Linked DNA regions of Kluyveromyces lactis. The protein of the gene in region 2 purifies or fractionates together with the protein of the main gene of each other region. This does not show direct contact. Links are inferred from orthologs where the notes say so. Each region holds a gene or a part of one and is shown on either strand. Other genes may lie near its edges.

Evidence for each region.
Region 1: the proteins of LSM12 (region 2) and PBP4 purify together in Saccharomyces cerevisiae (affinity purification with mass spectrometry; 4 studies listed by BioGRID). This does not show direct contact. The link is inferred for Kluyveromyces lactis from reciprocal best matches to the Saccharomyces cerevisiae genes LSM12 and PBP4.

Annotation. Positions count from the first base shown.
Region 1 is NC_006041.1:123,836-134,256, forward strand, and holds PBP4 (Pbp4p), read right to left. Parts: upstream 1,393-10,421; coding exon 967-1,392; downstream 1-966. Other genes in the region: MCH1 (Mch1p), read right to left, coding at 1-677; FBP1 (fructose 1,6-bisphosphate 1-phosphatase), read left to right, coding at 2,445-3,512; 1-acylglycerol-3-phosphate O-acyltransferase SLC1, read right to left, coding at 3,709-4,656; PSY3 (Psy3p), read left to right, coding at 5,097-5,723; tRNA maturation protein LHP1, read left to right, coding at 6,094-6,894; KNH1 (Knh1p), read right to left, coding at 7,159-7,944; KLLA0_E01321g (uncharacterized protein), read left to right, coding at 8,838-10,421.
Region 2 is NC_006042.1:2,257,955-2,268,701, forward strand, and holds LSM12 (Lsm12p), read left to right. Parts: upstream 1-7,047; coding exon 7,048-7,605; downstream 7,606-10,747. Other genes in the region: ESBP6 (Esbp6p), read left to right, coding at 1-1,011; SPC98 (Spc98p), read right to left, coding at 1,063-3,543; FAR11 (Far11p), read right to left, coding at 3,856-6,639; TEP1 (putative phosphatidylinositol-3,4,5-trisphosphate 3-phosphatase), read right to left, coding at 7,765-9,066; NRK1 (ribosylnicotinamide kinase), read right to left, coding at 9,331-10,059; iron-sulfur cluster assembly protein CIA2, read left to right, coding at 10,437-10,747.

The DNA.
Region 1 (10,421 bases), on a different chromosome or scaffold from region 2:
GAACCACGAAGCTTAATGATAGAAATCGTACTAGTGGAAATCCATGTCAACAAAAATACAAACGTGTAGAAGACAGCGAACGATTTAAAGACAACAGCAAGATCTAGGTAACCGTCCTCTTTAGAATGGAACCATGGTAATTTAATTACCTGCAACCCAATTACGGAGGATAATCCAAAACATGTCGTGGGGAAACTGATTGACAATAGTTTTGTATCGGGGTACAGCTTTGCACAAGTAATTAAAGCGCAAAAGTACAGCGAACTGGTAGCGATTCCAACAATTGCAAATGCCACTACGGAGAGGGCAAAACATGGATCGGATCCCAACTGGAAAACACAAGATAGGTATAAATAGCTGGGAACGAAACCAATGAAGGAAAGCCAACTTAATATCACAGGGCCGTGAGAATCGGATAATATACCTAATAATGGAGGAGTCAAATAAGCTCCTAAATTCCCTGCAGCATAAAGTAAATTAACGTCAAGTGAAGAGTATCCTAACCTTAATTCCCACGGTACTGCATATACCGAAATCATAGAAAAAAGCCCAGCAGAAATGGATGAGAATAAAGATATAATGAATGTTGAATTATGAATGGTGGACCATTCGAATGAATTTGAAAGCCATGTTCGAATATGATAGGTGAGCCAATGCTCGATATTTGATAATCTCATATGAACGGAATTTTTCTAGCCCTGACGCCCTTGCTTGTGTTTTTTGGCATGCAAAGATGGGTTACCAGGTGGATTCCGAGACCTTTTCATTATCAAGTAGATCAAAAATTACGTGTATTACATCGTCCTATAAGTGTTCTAGCTTTCTTTTTTAACTTTTTGAAATTTTGGTAGAGAAAACCGTCATTACCAGTAAAAGTTGTGAATGAAGTGTGTTTTTATATACATATACACTGTAAGGACGTTCACATGTAGATGAGGGAAGGAGCTTTTTACTGCCATGCAAAATTTATCTTAGAACGCGCTCAAGTTCGGACAAACACCCATATTTTTTTGATTTCCATGTTTTCGACTGAGAAGTATTCCAATCTGTAGAATCATCCGTAGTCAGGGTCACAGATGACCTAGAGTACTGTTCGAATTGTGATATCAGGAACTGTTTCACTTCATCGTGGTTGAACGGTGGTTTAGAATGAACATATGATGCTTGGTTCGTTTGGGAATTCTGCCCATTGCTGTTGTTATTTTTTTTCTTGTTACTGCGTGAGTCCTGCGAAGAGATACTACTTCTACTGGTATTTTCACTTGTTACTGGAGTAGGAATGGCTGAAGCAGAAGTGGGAGAAGCGGTCGTATATGCCATACTTTTTTTTTTCAACGCAGAGCTTTCACTTCCCCAAGCACCAAGTTTCTTACTTTGCCAAGCATTAGCCATTGTTAAGCAGTGTATAGGAAAACCGGATGGATAATTCTATTTATTCCCAACGGAAAAGTACGTTACCAGACGGCGAAAGAGAGATCCTATGGAAATACAATCGTGTACACAAGGAACGATTTGATGGAGCTTACTTCCGCTCTACCTTGACGATTGTTACAACTGATCAAAGGAATATGCCGAAATCGCTTCTTCATGTTAGATTTTCTTATTGCAGTAGACCAGAACACGTGACCCGAATTTTTGGACGGATCTCAGTTACTTTTCACGAGATATCCGGGTAATATCACGGTATTTAAATCTACTTGTCAAACACCCATCAACCACACATACATAAATTCTCCCGGTCGCCCCTCTGGTTCCCCCCCACTACCGATACAGCACTGGCAGAAATTGGAAAACCAAAGACGAAAACATGTTCCCGGAGCTCCAATGAACCCACACATCACGATATATGACCCCAGATTCATTTAATTTGAAGATCAATAAAACCTTTTTTTTTATTTTCCCTCTCAGTGTTATGAGCAAAATCACCTTAAATCGCTACAGAAAACACATAATCAAATAGTACTTGCAAATCATGTTCTGTTTCAAGTGACTAGGAAATGCCTTAGCACACTACGTGCCATACTGCGTCCATAGCGAGCTTTTCTCATTCTGTTTTTCTTTTGTTTCCTTCGCGCCAGAAATGGTGCGGTTCTTGCGATTTTTCAAAGCTAGAAGAAATTCAGAGACCAGATAATCGATATCAGACAGAGTAATGAACTGGCTTCGTTGGTTTCTTCGGGGGTAGAATTTTCCGAATTAATCCGTTGCGTTGTCCGCTACTTGCGTATGGATGTAAGTCGTGTATATTGTCTGTTTGATCCTTATTTTAGTGTATATAAATTGGATTCAAACCAGTTTTATGATTTCGATCCTCTTCAGCACTTTATGACTTATTATTGGATTCGAGCATTAGTTTCAAATTAAAGGCATAATCAAGTAGAAAGAAGACTATTCAATTCATTTCCCTTCCGAAGCTTCGCATATCCCGATTAAATAATTAATAAATGGCTGGTATTAAACACAGAAGAGACTCAGCTGAGTCTATCAATACCGACATCATCACGTTGTCCCGTTTTATCTTGGACCAACAGCATCTTTCTGCGAAAAATGCCACTGGGGAGTTTTCTATGCTTTTGAACTCTTTGCAGTTTGCATTTAAATTTATTTCTCAAACAATTAGACGTGCTGAATTGGTTAACTTGATCGGATTGGCTGGTGCTTCAAATAGTACCGGTGACCAGCAAAAGAAGTTGGATGTGTTGGGTGATGAAATCTTCATCAATGCTATGAAAGCGTCTGGTAACGTCAAGGTACTTGTGTCTGAAGAACAAGAAGATTTGATCGTTTTCCGTAACAGCCCTGGTAAATACGCGGTATGTTGTGACCCAATTGATGGTTCGTCTAACTTGGATGCTGGTGTCTCAGTGGGTACCATTGTCTCTCTGTTCAAGATTCATGAGAATCAGAATGGTAACTCTGGGGAAGAAGATAGTGAGGGTACCATCAACGATGTTGCTCGTTGCGGTAGAGAAATGGTTGCTGCTTGTTACACTATGTACGGTGCGTCCACGCATTTGGTTTTAACTACCGGTGCAGGTGTCAATGGGTTCACTTTGGACAATAACTTGGGTGAATTTATCTTGACTTACCCAGAATTGAGACTACCTGAGCAAAAATCTATTTACTCCATCAATGAGGGGAACACCTGCTATTGGGAACCAACTATCGCTGATTTCATTGCCAAGTTGAAGGAAAACAGCGAAGAAAATAACGGTAAGCCTTACTCTGCTCGTTACATCGGTTCAATGGTCGCTGACGTACACAGAACTTTACTATATGGTGGTTTATTCTCTTACCCAGGTGATAAGAAAAATCCTAACGGGAAGTTAAGATTGTTATATGAAGCATTCCCAATGGCTTTCCTTGTTGAACAAGCTGGTGGTAAAGCCGTTAATGATAGAGGTGAACGTATCTTGGATTTGGTCCCTCAACATATTCACGACAAAAGCAGTATCTGGTTAGGTAGCTCTGGAGACGTTGATAAATATTTAAAGCATATCGGTAAGTTGTAAATACGTATACGAACCTCCCATCAACAGAAGAAAATTAAGTAACATAATAATTCATGAAATACCACATTAAAAATAAATTAATAACCGACCTTGAATAACTATTTCACGATTCCAGTATTTACATTTATCATACATTCTCTTGTATTATAGAAAGTACTGTTAAATATAAAAAGTAAGAATCTCTTATTTATATTCTCTAAATAACTTCTTTGAGTAAACTACTACGTTCAGTGGGTTCTGGATTGGTCACAACAGTCCCATTAGAGTGAATAGAAGAACGGTCCAGGTCAACTATTTCCTCTTCGTAATCATCTGCAGTCAAACGATGCTGATCTTCAAAACGTCTGGCAGAGTTATACGCGATCACATCTGCAGGTAAAACGGTATCCACGATGGCTTCGGAGTATCCAATATTTTTCAGCTCGTCGTTCATCAACTTGTGAACACGGTTACATAGATCACCTACGTCTTCTTTCTTCAAATTTTCCGTGCTAATTGGCTCAAGAACCTTGACTGTTATGGTACCCCTGTTAAAGACTCCAGACCTGGGGTGATAGATGGAACTAGTGTTTGATACAACAACAGGGATTATCTGTATTTTCCCCTGTTGCGCCAAATGGAAAGCACCTTTCTTAAATGCTGATAGTTCTAGCTTTGTAGAATAAGATCTAGTTCCCTCAGGGAAAATCCAGAGGGCCCTTTTATCCTTCTTTAGGTTGGCCAAAGAGTCATTTAAGACCTTGATGGCCTTTTCTCTGCTAGATCTATCCAAGAACAAAGTACCGCTAAGACTCATAAACCAACCCAGTAAGGGAACCCACTTTATCTGTTTCTTAGCAGTAACTGTGCATCCAGGTGGGAAAGTTCTACCCAGCATTAGGATATCCAATTCAGATTGATGGTTCGAGATAAAAATAGCTGGCAAATCGTTCAATCTTTCACCATTGATCAAATTAATCTTAATACCCATGATGAAACCCATCACTCCATAGAAACAGCGAGCAGTACTCCATTGCGCCAAATGCTTTTTACCAATTAATGAAAATACAATCGATGCAAGCACACCATACAATGCACACGATGATAAAAGTGTAACTGCAATGACAGACTTCCCCCAGAAAACTATTTTGCTGAAAAAACCCATAGCTGAATTAAATGGATTTTGTTTAATGTTTCCCACTGCTCACACAGTAATAGAATCAACAAATAACTGAGTGTACTATTGGTACCTTATGCAATGATTTTTCGACTGTTTTTTGTTGGTATTATTATTCGAGAAACTATTTCAATCTTGTGAGATTTTTTAAAAAAAAGAACGAGAACGAGATGAAACTCAACATTGTAACAACAGTTGGAACGAACATACCCAGAAAGTTTCGTGATAGCGGAATCGGCAGCAATCAATTATCTGTTAAAACCAGACAGATCCAGTTAGAACTGTGAATTTGCAAACTAAATAATCCTGGATATGATCCATGTATTTAGTGAAATCATCACCATCAAATAAAGGAACAGAGCACCTGGATAACAATTGAGGGCATTTGAAATCTGTGTTCAAGTAGCAAACGACGTAGCGAAAATTAAATGAACGTTGTGTCAAGGTGCAAAGTGTACTCTTTGGACCAATTTACAAGTCCATACCAGTATACATGCGAAGTCAACGGTAAGAAATGTACCAGGATTCACGTCGTACAGGAATCTCTGCGAGGAAACGGTAAAACAAGAACCATAGTGAACACAGTGCGCGAACAATGTGAGGGGAACGGACTAATCTTGAACATTTCTTCGATGCCCCGGAACGACCACAACGACAATGACTTGCTCGAAACATACCCGGAATTCCAACAGACTAATCTTTCCATGCTTCAGTTCGATTCCTTTATTCAATTTATGTCTCAATTATGTACAGATCCCGTGACCGCATTGTCTAGATGCCAACCGCAGAATTCGGAAACGTCTACATCGAAGCAGTTGGCATGGGTCCTCATTGATAATTTGTCGCACTTATCCATGGACCCCAAATTCGACGCCAAGTTGCTCAACAGATCAATTAGACTCGTACAACAGACTTTCGGTTCTGTCGTTATCTCTACAAGTTTGCCCTTATCGTTCCATGGTGGTATAGAAAGCACGTTTAAACATCAATCAACAAAATGTGCAAGTGGTGACCGTCTGTTACCCTATTTCAATGAATCCGACATTATCCTATAAGCTCTACAAAACGCTGTGCTAGAAACCGTGTTGCCCTACTATGTGATCTTCTCATCTCTGCATGGCAAAAGGACATGGTTCTGTCTACACCAAACAATTTTTTTTTTTTTTCATGCATTTTTGAACATGGAAAAACGTTAAAGAATTACGAAATGACATTCCAATTGAAGTTATGATACAGGTTCTAATCGATACTGTTAACATCCTTGTCTTTGTGCATTGTAGCTTCCATTTCCTTTCAGAACTGGGTTAAAGTTTAAGGCTTTTTCCCTATTGTTTGTGGTCATTTATCTAGCTGTCTATTGGATTGTTTGGATCATAGCCGTAAAGAATCGAATCGCACTTCTCATAACAAGTTATACTGGAAACAATGTCATTTTCCCAAGAGATCCGTCGTCGTGGGTCTTATGCCCCAATCGATTTCACTCCTGAGGTGTCTCAGGCTTGCCGCAAACAAGTGGAATTCTACTTCAGTGAATATAATTTGCCCTACGATAAATTTTTACGCTCTCTATGCGAACAGAATGACGGATGGATTCCAATTACGACACTTGCGTCTTTCAACAGAATGAAAAAGTATAGACCTGTCGACAAAGTTGTTGATTGTTTAAAGGACTCGACGATTCTAGAGGTTAGCGCTGATGGTGAAAATGTGCGTAGAAAGAGTCCATTAGAGACAGTTGATTTTAAGGACAGGAACGAAAGAGTGTTAGTGTTTATGAACTTTAAGAAGATCGAAAATGAAGATAAAGATAAATTCCTAGAATTACAAGAAGAACTAGAGAAGTTCTTCAATGGGTTCACCACTGTTAACCAAGTTCGTTTGAAGAAGGACCATAAGAAATACTTCAACGGTGTTGTCGAAGTCGAATTCAAGACGAAGGAGGAATGTGTCAAATTCTTTGAGGAACACAAGACCGATTTCTCATATCAGGGACAACCATTGGAAGTTGTCACTAAGAAGCAATACAGCCTCGCCAAGAATGCAACTAGATCAAAGAATTTCGGTGGTTCTGGTCAAAAGACAAGATCATTAACTGGTTACAGGAAGAACATCCCAAAGACTAATGACGAAACTCCTGAAGCCAGTTCTGAATCAAAGCTCAGTGAAGGAGATGCCAATGCTCCAACTGAGAAGAAATCGGAAGAAAGTGCCACAGAAACTGCTTAAGGCAGTCCGGGCTATTCTCATATTGTTATTCTAAAGCTCTTTTTTCCGGTGTCAATCGAACTCTTTGCCAGTAAATTGTAAGAGGATGGATACCAATGGAATCTCCAAGAAAAGAGGTTTAACGAAATAATAAATACACACACTTATATATGATAAATAATGACATATATTAAGTTTTTAAGAAGAAAAATATAAAGTTTACCCATAAATGTTTTTTGTTTAAAGACTAGAATGGAAATTGTCACTTGTATCGATTCTTATCATTCAAATAGCTCTCTTCACATTCAATTTCCTAACACTCATAGTCTGTCTGTCTTTAGGATCGTACCATCCACCATTCTCGGTGGGGAATGGTGCAGGGGTTGCATAGTTGTAATCTGAAGGTCTTGTGTATGACCAACCTGGGGTGATGGTGGTTTTTTGCTGCAAAGAATTGATCAGCGAAGGGAAGTAAGACACCGCACTTGTCGCGTATCTTCTTGACCAAGTCTCCAAAGTTACAGTAGAACCCGGTTGTTGTTGCATTGGAGCAAATCTGGAAATACCCGTTTGTTTGGTATATGGAATAGTGAAAGATCTTGTATCTACTGAAGCCGCATCAAGAGATATCTGCTTTGGAGGACCATCAGTGTCAGTCACAGATTCTGCACTGACACTCAAGGTACCGTCCATACCTGACAATTTCATACGACCACTGTAATGAATCGTGTATCCTTCCTTATACGCGGCGTAGATCTGAATGAAATATGTCCCGTCTGGGGCCGTGGTGGCTGGGAAACTGGCTTGGTACTTGTAATCACTCACCTCGGAAGGCTTGAATGGACCCAAAGTGTCAACAGGTACGATATTAGAATCCGAACCAGTACATAAGACGAATTTGTACTCGATGATCTCATCTAACAGTGGGGTCGTCTCGTCGTCAGTCCATTGGATTTCAATTTCGACTTCACCACCAGAAGCAGCGTAAGAAGAACCTGGTTTTGGAACCGTGACAGAAACATCAGCTAGAACTTTACAGACGTACAACAGCAGTAATACCAGTAGTCTCATTCTATGTATATTGTTTATTTTTCAAATGCTGATTTGAATCTCTGGACCCTAAATGATTCAATGATAATGCCACACACACGCTTACTACTCGTCAGTTACCGTTATGTTGTAGTAGTATGAAGAAACACTTTCTATGCCACGTAGTTCAATACTGGCCACAGGTCTTTACGGTCTTTTATACCTTCTTGATCTGAGAAACTTGTTCGCCGTGAAAGTCCCAAATATATATAATTGAAATGTGATTTGAGTTCTAGAAACAATTTCTTAAAAAAATCGATGTCTGGCCATGGGAACTTAGCAAAGAGACATAGGAAATGGAGCAAAAAAAACATAACAAGCAATATTAGCACTTCCAAGACATGTTACATGATAAATGTGAAGTAACTTTCGTCCAGAATGGTCTCAATCATGCCGTATTGCATAGACGTTGTTCACCGGTTTCCTACATATGGTTGCTTCGCAACAATTACATAAGTCACATGATCTATTATTCGTAAAAACAGACAGGTTCAACATAGAGAAACATCAACTCCTGTGTCCGCAAAATGACTATCACCAGGAGAGGCCACTCAGCGTCATAATACTGCTAAAATCTTCCTCTTGTACTCGGTCAACCCCATGTTTTTCCTTGCGTTAGTTCGTTATCAATTATGGTGACCTGCGAATTGTCTCGAGATTCGAAAAATGTCAAAATCAGAGAGTTGGCAGCATCTACATATTTAAGCAACCATGTCCTTGATATTTTGGGCTCTTCAATTTAAGATCGTGAGGTACACAGAAGTGAATCACTTTTGTGGGTACCGCTACAGAACTGTTAACTACAGAGCTGGTAAAGTGCAGAAGATTAAGATTGGTCAAACTTTCACATTGGTGGCAGTAATAATTAATTAAAGATGACTCCTGCTTCCAAGTACCAATTGGCTTCAATATTTATTGGTGCAAATGTGGTAGCTTTGGGGTCTGGTACACCGTATATGTACAGTTTCTATGCACCACAGTTGCTCAAAAAATGCCATCTTGACATTGAAAGATCTAGTGATTTCTCCTTTGCCATGTCTTTAGGGATGAGTGCGATGGGTGTTTTCGCAGGAATGATAATAGACCATTCGCCCAGTTTGGCCACCGGAATTGGGGCCTTTCTTACATTTTTTGCATATTCTACTCTTTACTTTTGTTACACTTATGAATATAGCAGCGTTTTTTTGATCTTCGTAGCTTTGGTGATGATTGGGTTTGGTTCCATTTGCTCTTTTTATGCAGCTATGAAATGTTGTACTGCAAATTTTCCTAACCATAGAGGTGCTGCAGGAGCGTTCCCCATATCTCAGTATGCACTGTCAGGATTAGTCTTTTCGCTTCTGTGTTCGAGTTTGTTTAAAGACGATATACAATCCGTGTTTTTGTTCTTGATTATTGTTTGTACTTCTACTGCACTTATTGGTTGTATGACCTTCAGAATCATCGAGGAAGACCATGTCCATAAAGTTGAATCTTCTGAGGACGCATTACTGGCACTAGATGATTCTGGAGCAGAAAACGAGTCGCCTTCACTTTTGGACGAAACTTATCATTCAAAACCAATTAATGTTATCAATGCAAAACGTGGTTCTATGTCTTCAGTGACTTACAATGCCTTTGCAACAGGATCTGCTGATTCTTCATCACCAACTGCTGCTGCTATGAAACAGTCTTCATCCACTACATTATTTTCCCTAAGGAGAAGCGATTCTGTCTCTTCCTGGACAAAAGATTTGGTTGGATCTTTACAATTTTGGGGTATAGGTAGAGCAAGACCGAGTGATAGTGCACTATTTCCTTATCACCCTAAAAGAAATGCAAGGACAAGTTTCACAATTGATGTAAACCCAACTCAAAGGAGACAATCTTTGTCTCAAGACCAGTCCCAGAATTCAACCGTATTGGCATCCAATAACTTTCCAGAACCCAATATCGATAATGTTTCCCATGAAATAAATATACAAACTTCAAAGATTGAAACTATTTCTACAGAGAATAAACAAAGCTGGTGGAATGAACATCCTGTATTGAAAAATTTATCAAAACCACGGTTTTTTGCCTATTTATTCACTTTGGCAACGTTGCAGGGTATTGGTCAGATGTACATTTTTGCAGTTGGATTTGTGGTGACTACTCAAATCCAATCGAGTGATGATCCTTCGAGCTGGAACCAAGAAGAATATCTGTCACTACAAGTATCATTAATTTCGGTAATGTCTTTTGGTGCCAGATTTTTATCAGGGATTGTTTCAGATCTCCTTGTTAAGAAGTTCCATTCTCAGCGTCTATGGATAATCACTTTTTCTGCTGTTCTGAGTATCATCGCGTCTAGAAAATTGATTTCTCTTGATCCTGATACTTCCACAACATCGAGCAATTTGCACAATATCTCCTTATCTTCGGTATTATTTGGATTTGCATTTGGTATGGCTTTCGGAACTTTCCCTGCTATCATTGCC
Region 2 (10,747 bases):
GGGTGGTTTCTTAAAAAAAGATCATTTGCAATGGGTTTATCATTGATTGGAACAGGAGCAGGTGGTGTTGCATACTCTCTAGCGGTTAATAAAATGATAGAAAATACCGGTAATCAGAGATTTGCATTAAGAATCCTTGCTATCACTTGCAGCATAACTTGTGTAGTAGCAACCCTTTTGCTACGTCAGAGAGTTCCAATGAAGGCTACTGGGATCAGAAATTGGAAAGCAATCAAGCAACACTGTAATGATATGTTCTCGATGCACATATTCAAAAAATGGACAGTTCAATTAATTGCAATGTGGTTCATGTTTGCATTATTTGGATATACTTTAATGATATTTACTTTATCCTCATACGCTGTTGCTAACGGCTTGACTGCTCATCAAGGTTCCTCGCTAACGGCAATCTTGAACGGTGCCCAAAGTGTAGGTAGACCCTTAATTGGATACACAGGGGATAAAATCGGTAGAACGAATATTACTGTTATGCTAACGTTACTTTTAACAATTTTCATGTTCGGTTTTTGGATCCCTGCTGACAGTTATTCATCTTTAATCGGGTTTTCAATATGTGTCGGTCTATGTATTGGTGTAGCTAATGTTATGAACACCGTGCTAGTTGCTGACATCGTTGGACCGGTAGATTTTTTGCCCGCTTGGGGTTATGTTAACTTGGTGGGCTCTCCATTCATGCTTGTTGCTGAAGTTATTGCACAAGCGTTGACTGAACCCAACTCCAACGACCCATATCTCCACACTCAAATATTTGCGGGATGTTGTTTCGTTGCGGCATTACTCCTTATATTGGGATTGCGGGAGGTGACAGCAAAGATAAAGATAAAAGAAAGACAAACGATAAATTTGCAACGGTTAAAGGATTATGATGATTCAAACTTATCAGAAAAAGACAATAACATCTTGAGAGAAAGAGAGATCAAGTATGATTACTTACTTGGATCAGGCATCAAAAGCTACTTTGCAAGAATGTTTTATCCAATGCATGTATAAAACTCTTTCCACAGAGTCATCTATTCTTTTCTTCCGTCTATAAAAGTAGCATTAGTGAAGTATCTTACTTAGTTTATTTATTTCAGTATTTTCATCCCACTTCAAATCCTTGATATAAGCATTGCATTCATTATCAAAATCCTTCCATTGATCAACCAACTTCTTTGAAATTACATTGAATCTCATTATCGGGTCATGCAAATTTTGGTTAGGATCTAAGTTCATCTGAATGCAAATCTCATGAATGACGTTATTTAGCTCAGAGTAATTTAGCACAAACTCATAACTCATATCCATCAATAAAACCAAAGTAGTTGGATACAGCTGATGAGTGTATGTTCCAAGCGAAGCACCTGAACCTGAATATAAAATTGGATGATTCAAAATATTTGATAAGAATACAGAATGAGCTCTTTTTAGATCCTCAAGATCAAATGAAGAATAGCCGCTAACATCATCTGTCGTAAGTTCTTTGAAGTTTTCGATAAAATGAAGATCAGGTTTTAAAACACCGCTTGAGACTTTTACCCCATTTCTAAGCACTTTAACTTTAACCGAGGAGGTTGGATCGGTATCTTTATGATTTAGATTCGAAAGAAGCTTCCTAAATTCATGTTCAATAATACTCTCGAAACAATATGTTTCAACTTTTTTAGTGAAAGATTGAATCTGATTCTTTAAAACATTGATCATTGAAACTTTATTCAGTAAATCCCTAATAAATGGAACCCTGATGTTCAGCTTTCTAAAAAGTTTAAGAATGGATGAATTTTTTTGCCATTCTTGTTCATAATTGTACTCATTCTTTTTAATTCTCCATAAGAAGTTGAAAATTCTCAGATAATCTCTGCGGCTTCCGTGTTGGTTGATATCCATTACTGTTGAAAGAGGCTGATCCACGAGATAGTCTAATGTGAAAACATCCCAACCCGAAGATCCATGTGCTAATTCCAAAATTCTAGCATCAAGCCTATTCACCAAGAGATTGTTATCTGATTTGTTCAATCTATTTCTCAGAGATGATTGTTGAATTGCGATTTGTAGACACTTCGTTAAATGATGGCTTTCTAAAAGTTGAGAAGGTTGGTTGAAGAGATTTTCCGAGTTTTGAATAATAGAATCAATCACATCGCTTTTACCCATTAGAAGGATATCTTTTAAAAGGTTGAGAGTCTCGAAATAATAAAATTTCGATCGTAATGTGGTGTTGATATAGTGGTTAATTTCACCATATTGCTGGTTAACCAATTCGAAAAATTTGTGATCCATTGAAGGGCCTAATAGCCTATATTGCAATGAATACTTATTTGCAAATTTTCCAATCCATTCAACTTCGCTGCAGCAATGTTCGAGATATCGGAGGGACTTTCCAATAATGTATATTTTTTTGGCCACTAAAGACGGTATAAATTTTGGAATTTTCTGTGGCAAGAATACCAATCCCAATGGTTCTTTCTCGTCATTTTGAACAAAAAAGTCACTACTAACATTTGAATCCAGTTTTCCATCAATCAACCAATCGCATATGTTCTTCATGTAGGGTTGTAAAAGACGCTCTAACGCATCAGATGCAAATTTCTCGAGTACTGGATCACCATTACTTTTTTGTAACTGGCATACAGATAGTAATCCCTCTGCACTGCTTTTTTCAAAGTTTTCAATATATTCCATATATGTCCTTAGTTTTAGTACTTCAGGATAGAGGTGTTGATATGTAAAACATAATGGATCGAGTGGATGTAAGTGGGATGAGAAATTGTTGACGAAATTACTATAATCTCGAAGTTTACTTTGAATCAATGTCAAAAATGCTACTTTTAGTGTACTGGTGGTAACATGTTTTTTAAGATATTCCACTCTAATTTGAAGGTGCAAGTAAAGTAAGCCTGCTTCAACGATATCATGCAACTGTTGGCTTTCTCCGTTCGGAATATTGCTGGGTATTGTGAACTTCTTGTCTTTTAGTTCGAATAAAGTAGAGGGTGTTCCCAACACAAGATAGGGTATACTTTTAACGATATCGGCCCTCGATACCATTGTGCTGAAATATGGATCTGATAAGCTTTGTAATGTAGCATCAGATGAACTATGTTGCCAAGCATTTCCCCCATAGGACCCAATTGACCTTCTGTCCGATACCTTCTCAAAATTCTCAAAAGAATCCGCATAGACGCTTTCCGTTGTTTTCCTTTGTATATTTTCTATCACTTCTTTCGACATTGGTTCTCTCATATCATACAACTCATCGTTTTTGTCTAAAAGTGACAAACATTGCAGTAAATATTTATGTTTTTCTTCCGGACTTGAGAGATGGCACATGATGCCGGCAAACATTTCTAAATGAGACCAACTTTTCATGTCCTGATTGCGTTGCACCATTATTTTTTTATAATATTCCAATACTTTTGTGACATTTTCCTTTGATGATGTTTTGATAGAGTAGTAAAGGTCCTGAATTAATTGCTGAGAATACGCACTGCCAGCAGATGCAGGAAGCATGTGTAGTACACATGTGCCAAATTTTTGGTCCATTATTGTTTTTTCCGTTACCCCACAGTAGAGATAGGGGAAGAGGCTCTTTTTCACATCTTTTACCTTTCACTTTAGCGCACAAATCGTTCTTGTTTGTTGATATTTTCACAAAACAATATCGATCTACTGTTGTTGTATCCAATGATGTAAACATAAAGTGAAAAAGGTTGTGAAATAGTCACGTGATTGACTTTGGTGACCATCACAAGGATTGAAGGAAAGACATATGCAGACATACATGTATACATAATATATATATCAATACAGTACATGTATAATACATTTGTTTAACTTATTATTATGCCATATTTTTTAATAAGGAGCAGAGAGTAGTTCAGCCTCCCTTGAAAAGAAAGAGTTAGAGAATTTGTCATCGTACCCGCAATGTTCCATAGTTCTTTTATAGTGATAGAAATTGTAGAATTGCAGCATGGCCCGTAAAGCAATTTCTTGGCCATAGGAATCGTTGATCTCGCCCGTGATATCCTTCCCTGTTATCCAGTTATCTGTTAAATGAAGTTTCTCATGTAAGAACACTCCAGAAATCAATTCCATATGATCTGCCCTCCATCTTTTATTCTTGAATGGTGCCAATTCGTGAATTATCTTTAATATGGGGTGGTATATGTCCAGATTAAAGATAGAATACAATGCCTTGAATATGTTACTAACATTAAGTGGTAGGTCTTTTAGCCTTTGTGTCTTTTTCCCAGTTATTTTGGATAACACTCGTAATAGATACACCTCGGAATTGAGCATTCGGAGATTTAATCTGTTTGCTTTCTCATTTGCGGTTGATATCTCAAGAGTTTCTTTATATTGAACATTGTATAAAGAACATTCACTCCAAAAAGAATGGGTAGGTTGTAAATGTTTAGAGTAAATTCTGTTTTGATATTGATCAGTAAAAGATTGAAGGATGCCTACGCTTGTCGTAATGAACTTTGAATCGTAAATCAACGAGCAAAGATACTCAAATTTAAGAAAGTGGCTAACCTTAAACCATTTTAAAAGGAGGAAAAGTATGGCAGAACTCGATTCCATTGCAATTTCCTTTGATCTTATAAGTTCCAATTGTGGTTGAAGCTCATTAATTTCTTCTTCAGAAAAATCCTCTTCAAGGTATACTTTGTTTGACATACAAGTTTCAATAGTTTCTAATAGAACATATACTAGAGATGAAAAATGGGGTAAAGCATTAGCATAATAATCTTCGATGCGATTCATGGTTTCAGGTTCCTCATTCTGTATACCTCTATACGTGAATGGGTCCTTCTCATGTACCTCAGTGTTTGTCCATCCTCGTTCTTGCACCATAAATAATTCTCTTTCATGCCATAGTTGTTTAGTAGATAGTTTTATATGCACAGATTTTGACAAAATTTCGATTGCTTCTTGCATGTTATACGGTAACACTGTCTCAGGCACCGCAATACTCAGCTTATTACTAAGTTCGTCTACCACACCAGTATCATAGTCACCAGAGGATGGAAAAAATGCTGGATATGATAAATTGGCTTGAAATGACTTCCTCGTTTTCAATCCGTTGGGCGAGCTTGTGGGTGATGCCGGCTGTGATGGTGCAGGCGTTGCCATATGCACTTGTGGCTCTCCCAACGACATGTTAGAACTGCTCCTCGAACGGGGTCTCGGAATCTCTAAAAATTGTGAAAGAGAATTGGGGTTGTCAAGCATGCTAGGATATGTCGGTTCTGGAAGCTGAGAAGATGGAAATCTTGAGGTGATATCTTCCCTAAAAGCAACATATTCCAATGGAGATATTGAAAGATTCGAAGCAGAGGAGTCTTTCTTTTCAATTTTGTGATGTTGAAGAACAAATCTCTTCACTGCGTCATAATGGCTCTCTTCACCAAACTGTAATAGAAGCACTTTATGGAATAAAATAATGATATTTCTTATTCTCATTGAGAGTCGACTTTTCCAACGCCAATGGTCTATATATTTTGTAAGGAAAAGCATCAAGCCAGATGAATGTACGACATCAATAAAATCTTCTACAGCTTTGGTGTGCATGCTTCTTTGCTCAATAGCTATATTGATCATAAAATAAGTGATTGAACCCGAGTAGAACAAAAGAGTATTATATTGTTGCAAATTAGTGTTCTTCACCCTACAACAATCTGCATGTTTCTTAAAGCAAGGTAAGAGTACCTTTGAAATCATCATCAATAGAGTATTATTCCTCCGTAGAATGTCTAAATGATGGAAATAACTGTTCGTTTCCTGAAAAGTTCCGAAAGAAATATACGCCAGACAAAGCAAGGTATTGATATCCACTGAATTTACCTCTAGCTTTTTACCAAGCTCTGTAATAACTTGAATAGCGTATTTACGCTCTTCGATAAATTTCGAACTATCATAGTTTTTTTCAAAGCTCAACTTTGCAGTCTTTAAGCTCCCATAGTCCTTTTGTATGAACCATTCTGATAGTTCGTGAAATAATGAATTAAAATCGGAAGCCTGCCAATCTAACGTAGGCTTGGTAAATGAATGTGAAAGATCACCTCTTTCAATCTCGTCTGCTTTTTCTTGTAACAACTTCTTTAATGCATCGTCTACTGGTAAATTATTATCTTCTTCAACTTTGACATCCTCATATGTAATTATTTTATCTTTGTCATTCAATTCGGGTGAAACCTTCCTTAGTTGCTTCGGTGATGCTTGTCCGTTAGTATATGAATCATAACCTTGGAAATAATCTTTCAGGCTACCAGAACTAGAACTGGGGGAGATTGGTCCATCGATCTCATCGACATTTGCAAACTCTGAATCCTCATCATCTTCTTCCCCATTAGCATCATCCTGAGTATCAATAATCTCACTGCTATTGTTCGCTTCATTAGATTGTCTATCTGTGCCGTTGTTTTCATGCTGCAATTCATTTGAATCACCCAAATGTAATTTCTTGCTAAGTAAACTATCCAGATCATGGAATAAAGACGTATCCGAAGGGAAAGTCTGGTGTTCATTGGAGAGCTGTTTTGCAAATGGCGGTCTAGCCTGAGTCTTGCTCCTCAAATCTTTAGAAGACAAAGACTTCAATAGCGGAGATCTTGACCGCTGTGTCTCTGGCATTATCGCAATCCACAAATAATATTGGATTCCTTTCTATCTCTCAAATTGAATAATCGTTAATTCAATGTTGAAAAGAAAACAGCTCTTCAAGCCGCTATCAATAGAAAACCACGGGAGTAGTTCAGGCAATACCTCGCAATGTATTTGAACCACAAAAGTAACGTTTTCTAAAAAGTTTAAGTGTATAGTTGCAAACGTTCTTATTCTAACATGTCTGATTGAATGCGATGCTACTTTTTTTTGGATTTTGAGTAACTATTCAAATGCCTGAAAAATGTGATACACACAAATTAAAACTGAAAATCTGTAAGAAACAAATCGAATTTGACTCGTGATGTTCAATCGTGGAAGAGTGACCAGCAAGCTTTTCTGGCCGAAGCCGCTAGTTTATATTTGATTGCAAACTAAATGAGCATTTCTCTGGAGAATATTCTTGGCCTCAAAGTTAAAATTACTGATGTTTTAGACCATGTAACGCAAGGAAAAGTGTATTCATTCAACTCAAATAATGACACCATCACTTTGATTGTGGGCAAGAAAAATAAAGCATACACATTTGAGATCATTCAGACCTCATTTATCAAGCATCTGGAACTAGTAGGAGAGAAGGCTAATCCGTCTAGTTTCAAGAAAGATCATGTAAAACCGTCATACGTTGATCTCGATAGAGTGAAAAATGCATTGGCTAAGACAATAGACACAGCTGCTAAAAAGGAAATGTCAATTGGAAAAAATGTTTCCTATGAGGGTCAATTTATATTTGATCTCATTCATAAGACTATATCAGATATAGTATGGAAGGGAAAATCCATTGTCGTTCTTGATGAGCTGGAAATAAATCCGCCGTATCAGCTTGGTAGCATTAAACCATTGCAAGGCAGAACTGATGTCAAATCAAAAGAGTTGATAGATAAGATTGTTGAATCTGCATGGAATAAATTAGAGAACGAAAGAAAAGGCGGATGATGCCGGATGTCAATGTAAAAATATATAGTTTATTTATTTACAGATTAAAATTTAACTTATTTCGTTCGGAATTAAAACTGGATAGAATACACATCGCCTTAGATGATGCCCACTAGGAGCAATCTCTAGCTTGTCCTTCGATTAACGTCACTCCGAATTTCAAAGTAACATCCACCGGATAGAAATTGAATCGAATAATTTAAGACCTTTCCCAGAGGTTCCTTTAAACCCATCAAGTTCCTCCCATGGAATATAAAACTCAAATCGTTCATTCTTAGGTAAAATGTAGTTGGAGTCATTATCAAGGTTCTTTGACTGAAGCACAGATTCCCAATAAAGATTTAACCAGCAACTTGAAAAAGAGCTTAGGTGAGAGACGTTGTTTATAAATTGCGAGGTCTTTGAACGGATTCCAAATGATAAACGGATATCTGAGAAAGTTACGTTGATATTTGGAACTATTATTTGCTTTGAAGTTAACGACCTTAATGATCCCTTGCCTGTAGAACACTGCTTGGAGAATAAATCGATAAGACCCGATTTTCCACTTGAGTGACTTTGTATCTTAATGGATACTGTTGTATTATTGGCCTTTTTCAAGAATTCCGAGCTATATTGACCAATTGAATTTGTAAACTCGATTGACAAAATCTTGAATTCGATGGTAGAAAGGTTCTTTATTATTTCTTCTCGTTGTTTAGCTTCGTATCGGAGAAACATTTCTTGGTACTTGAGATAACGTAGTTGAGAAGCTATGGTAACTCCTTTACTGATGCCTGTCTTAAACCTAGTGCTCAGAAAAAGAGATTGTGCTTCATGACGGGGGAGCTGCAAGTATGTCATCAAATATGCGACTACCAGAGTGCCCGATCTCCCTTTGCCCATTTTACAGTGAATAACAGCTACTTTCCCCCTTGAGACAGTATCTCTTATATCGTCTATTAAGTTCTGAAGATGCAAAAAAGATGGTGGTGAATGATCAATCCATCCAGCTCTCAACAAGTGAGATTTCACAGAAATTGGTGGTTTTACTATTTCATCTGCATTAGATCTGAATAGTAATTTGATTCCGGAAACATTGCAATGGTCTTCGAGCATTTTTCTGGATCTAAAAGTGGAAGTAATTTTTTCACTCTTACCAGCTGGTGGGGTCACATGTTTTGATTCCAATACCATGGCAAAATCGTCATCAGTGTAGTCTGAATCATTCATTTCCGCCTTCAAATTGTAGATTTTCCAGTTCTTTCTGCCATGATTCGCATCCAAATACGTGACAAGATCAACGAGACTGTTGCGATAAAACATTTTGGGATACTTCATTACAGGATATGAGCAAACAATGATGTTGTCAGTAACATACGAAACATCCAAAACTAATCCCATATTATTCTTATATTGATTGAAAGGGGAGCTGTAGATTGATTTGATGATGTGCTCCGGATTAAATTTCGATAAAGTCATTTTGAATACTTTCAGTACAATTATACTTGGTGAAGATCTTAGTAACGTCAAAGCGATTGTCCAAAATTTGGCCGACTTTGAATTTATAGATGTAGACCAGTCTATTTAATACTGGTGGTGGGGAAGTTGTAAATGAGTTTGAATTGCTAGTTTTCTTAAATGCAACATTTGTGTCACTTCAGAAAGTACTTGACAACAGTGCGACAAAAAAAAAATAAGAAAAAAAAAAAACAGGAAAGACAAGTATCAGGTAGAATAGTTATATTATTCCAGTAATGAACTCGCATTTAATGTTTCAACGATGTGATCAGCAATTGCGTTTAGCGCATCTGATATGTTGATATCATCATCATTTTTCAGTTCGAAGAGCCCTGTATTCCGTTTAAGCTGTCCTTCAATGTCTTCATCTTCGAACATATACTTATGTTCGTTCCTGTAAGATTTGTAAACAAATTCATCAAAGTAGTATGGTGGATCAACCCAATATGAATCTATAGTCTTGTATCCAGCTCTTGCATTTCTTCTCTTTTTCAAAACTTCGTATGGAGCTCGAACAAATATTTTGATGTCAAACTTCTTTGTTAGCTCTTCATCGTTAAATATCATGAACCCATCAACCAATACAATCTTAAGATCAGAATTTTGCACGATAGCATATTTCCTCTTAAGAGAATCCCAATCTTCTGGTGATATATCAAACTTTGTTATGTCATCAACGTTATCGTTATGAATCAATTTACTTTTGATTAAGCCAGTTTCTTTTATTTGATCCAACTCTCTTTTAAATGCAGGTATATCCAATGCCTCTGGACAGTCCCAGTCGGCAATCTGATATTTTTCGTTTAGTGGAATTTGCGCATCAGGCTTATAGAAGTCATCTTCGTGTAATACACTACTTCTAGGGATTGCATTCGATGTTAGCTTGGTTAAGGTGGTCTTACCCGATGATGAACATCCACTTATCGCGATGAGAACCAATTTAGAGCTAGTCATTCTTTTCTCCTAAAATAGTGGGTTTAAGTTGATACCGCTTACTTCGTACGATGTAGGGAATAAGGAAGTAAATATGTCCCAAGGAGCTACCTCAATTTTCCCTACAAATAGCTTATGTGACGCTTTTCATTGTCTTGTTTGGAAGATATGTTGGATCTTTCTTATCTATTGTCCTGGCTTTCAATTTTTCATGCGAAACCATTTTTGAATTTTGTCAATAAATTTTGAGAAAGTTAACAATCCTGCAAGACTTTATATGATAAATTCGCAGAAACTTGGTACATGAGAAGGCAATATAGGTTATTTTGCCCTACTTAACAGCTTTGTGGAACCCTCCAACTGAATCGATATCTGAAGCATCTTTTCATTTACTCACAATGTCGGAATTTATTAATGAGAACCCTGATATTTTAGATGAGACCCTCCTACCGTCCAGAAAAGAAGATATTACAAATGAACTATTTGGTGATGCCTTAGGGAAAATCACACATGAAAGAAAAAGGCAGTTGCTGCAGATAGGATCTGTAGACTCGCCAGTTTTGAAAAACATAGGTCTTCTAGATAAACTATTAAACCAGCAGCTATCTTTGGATGAGACCGTACCTGATTTGACAGATATAGAAACAGCAACTGAATCCGATGAAAACACTGAGGAAGAAGAAGAGGAAGATCCTATCGATGCTCAAGA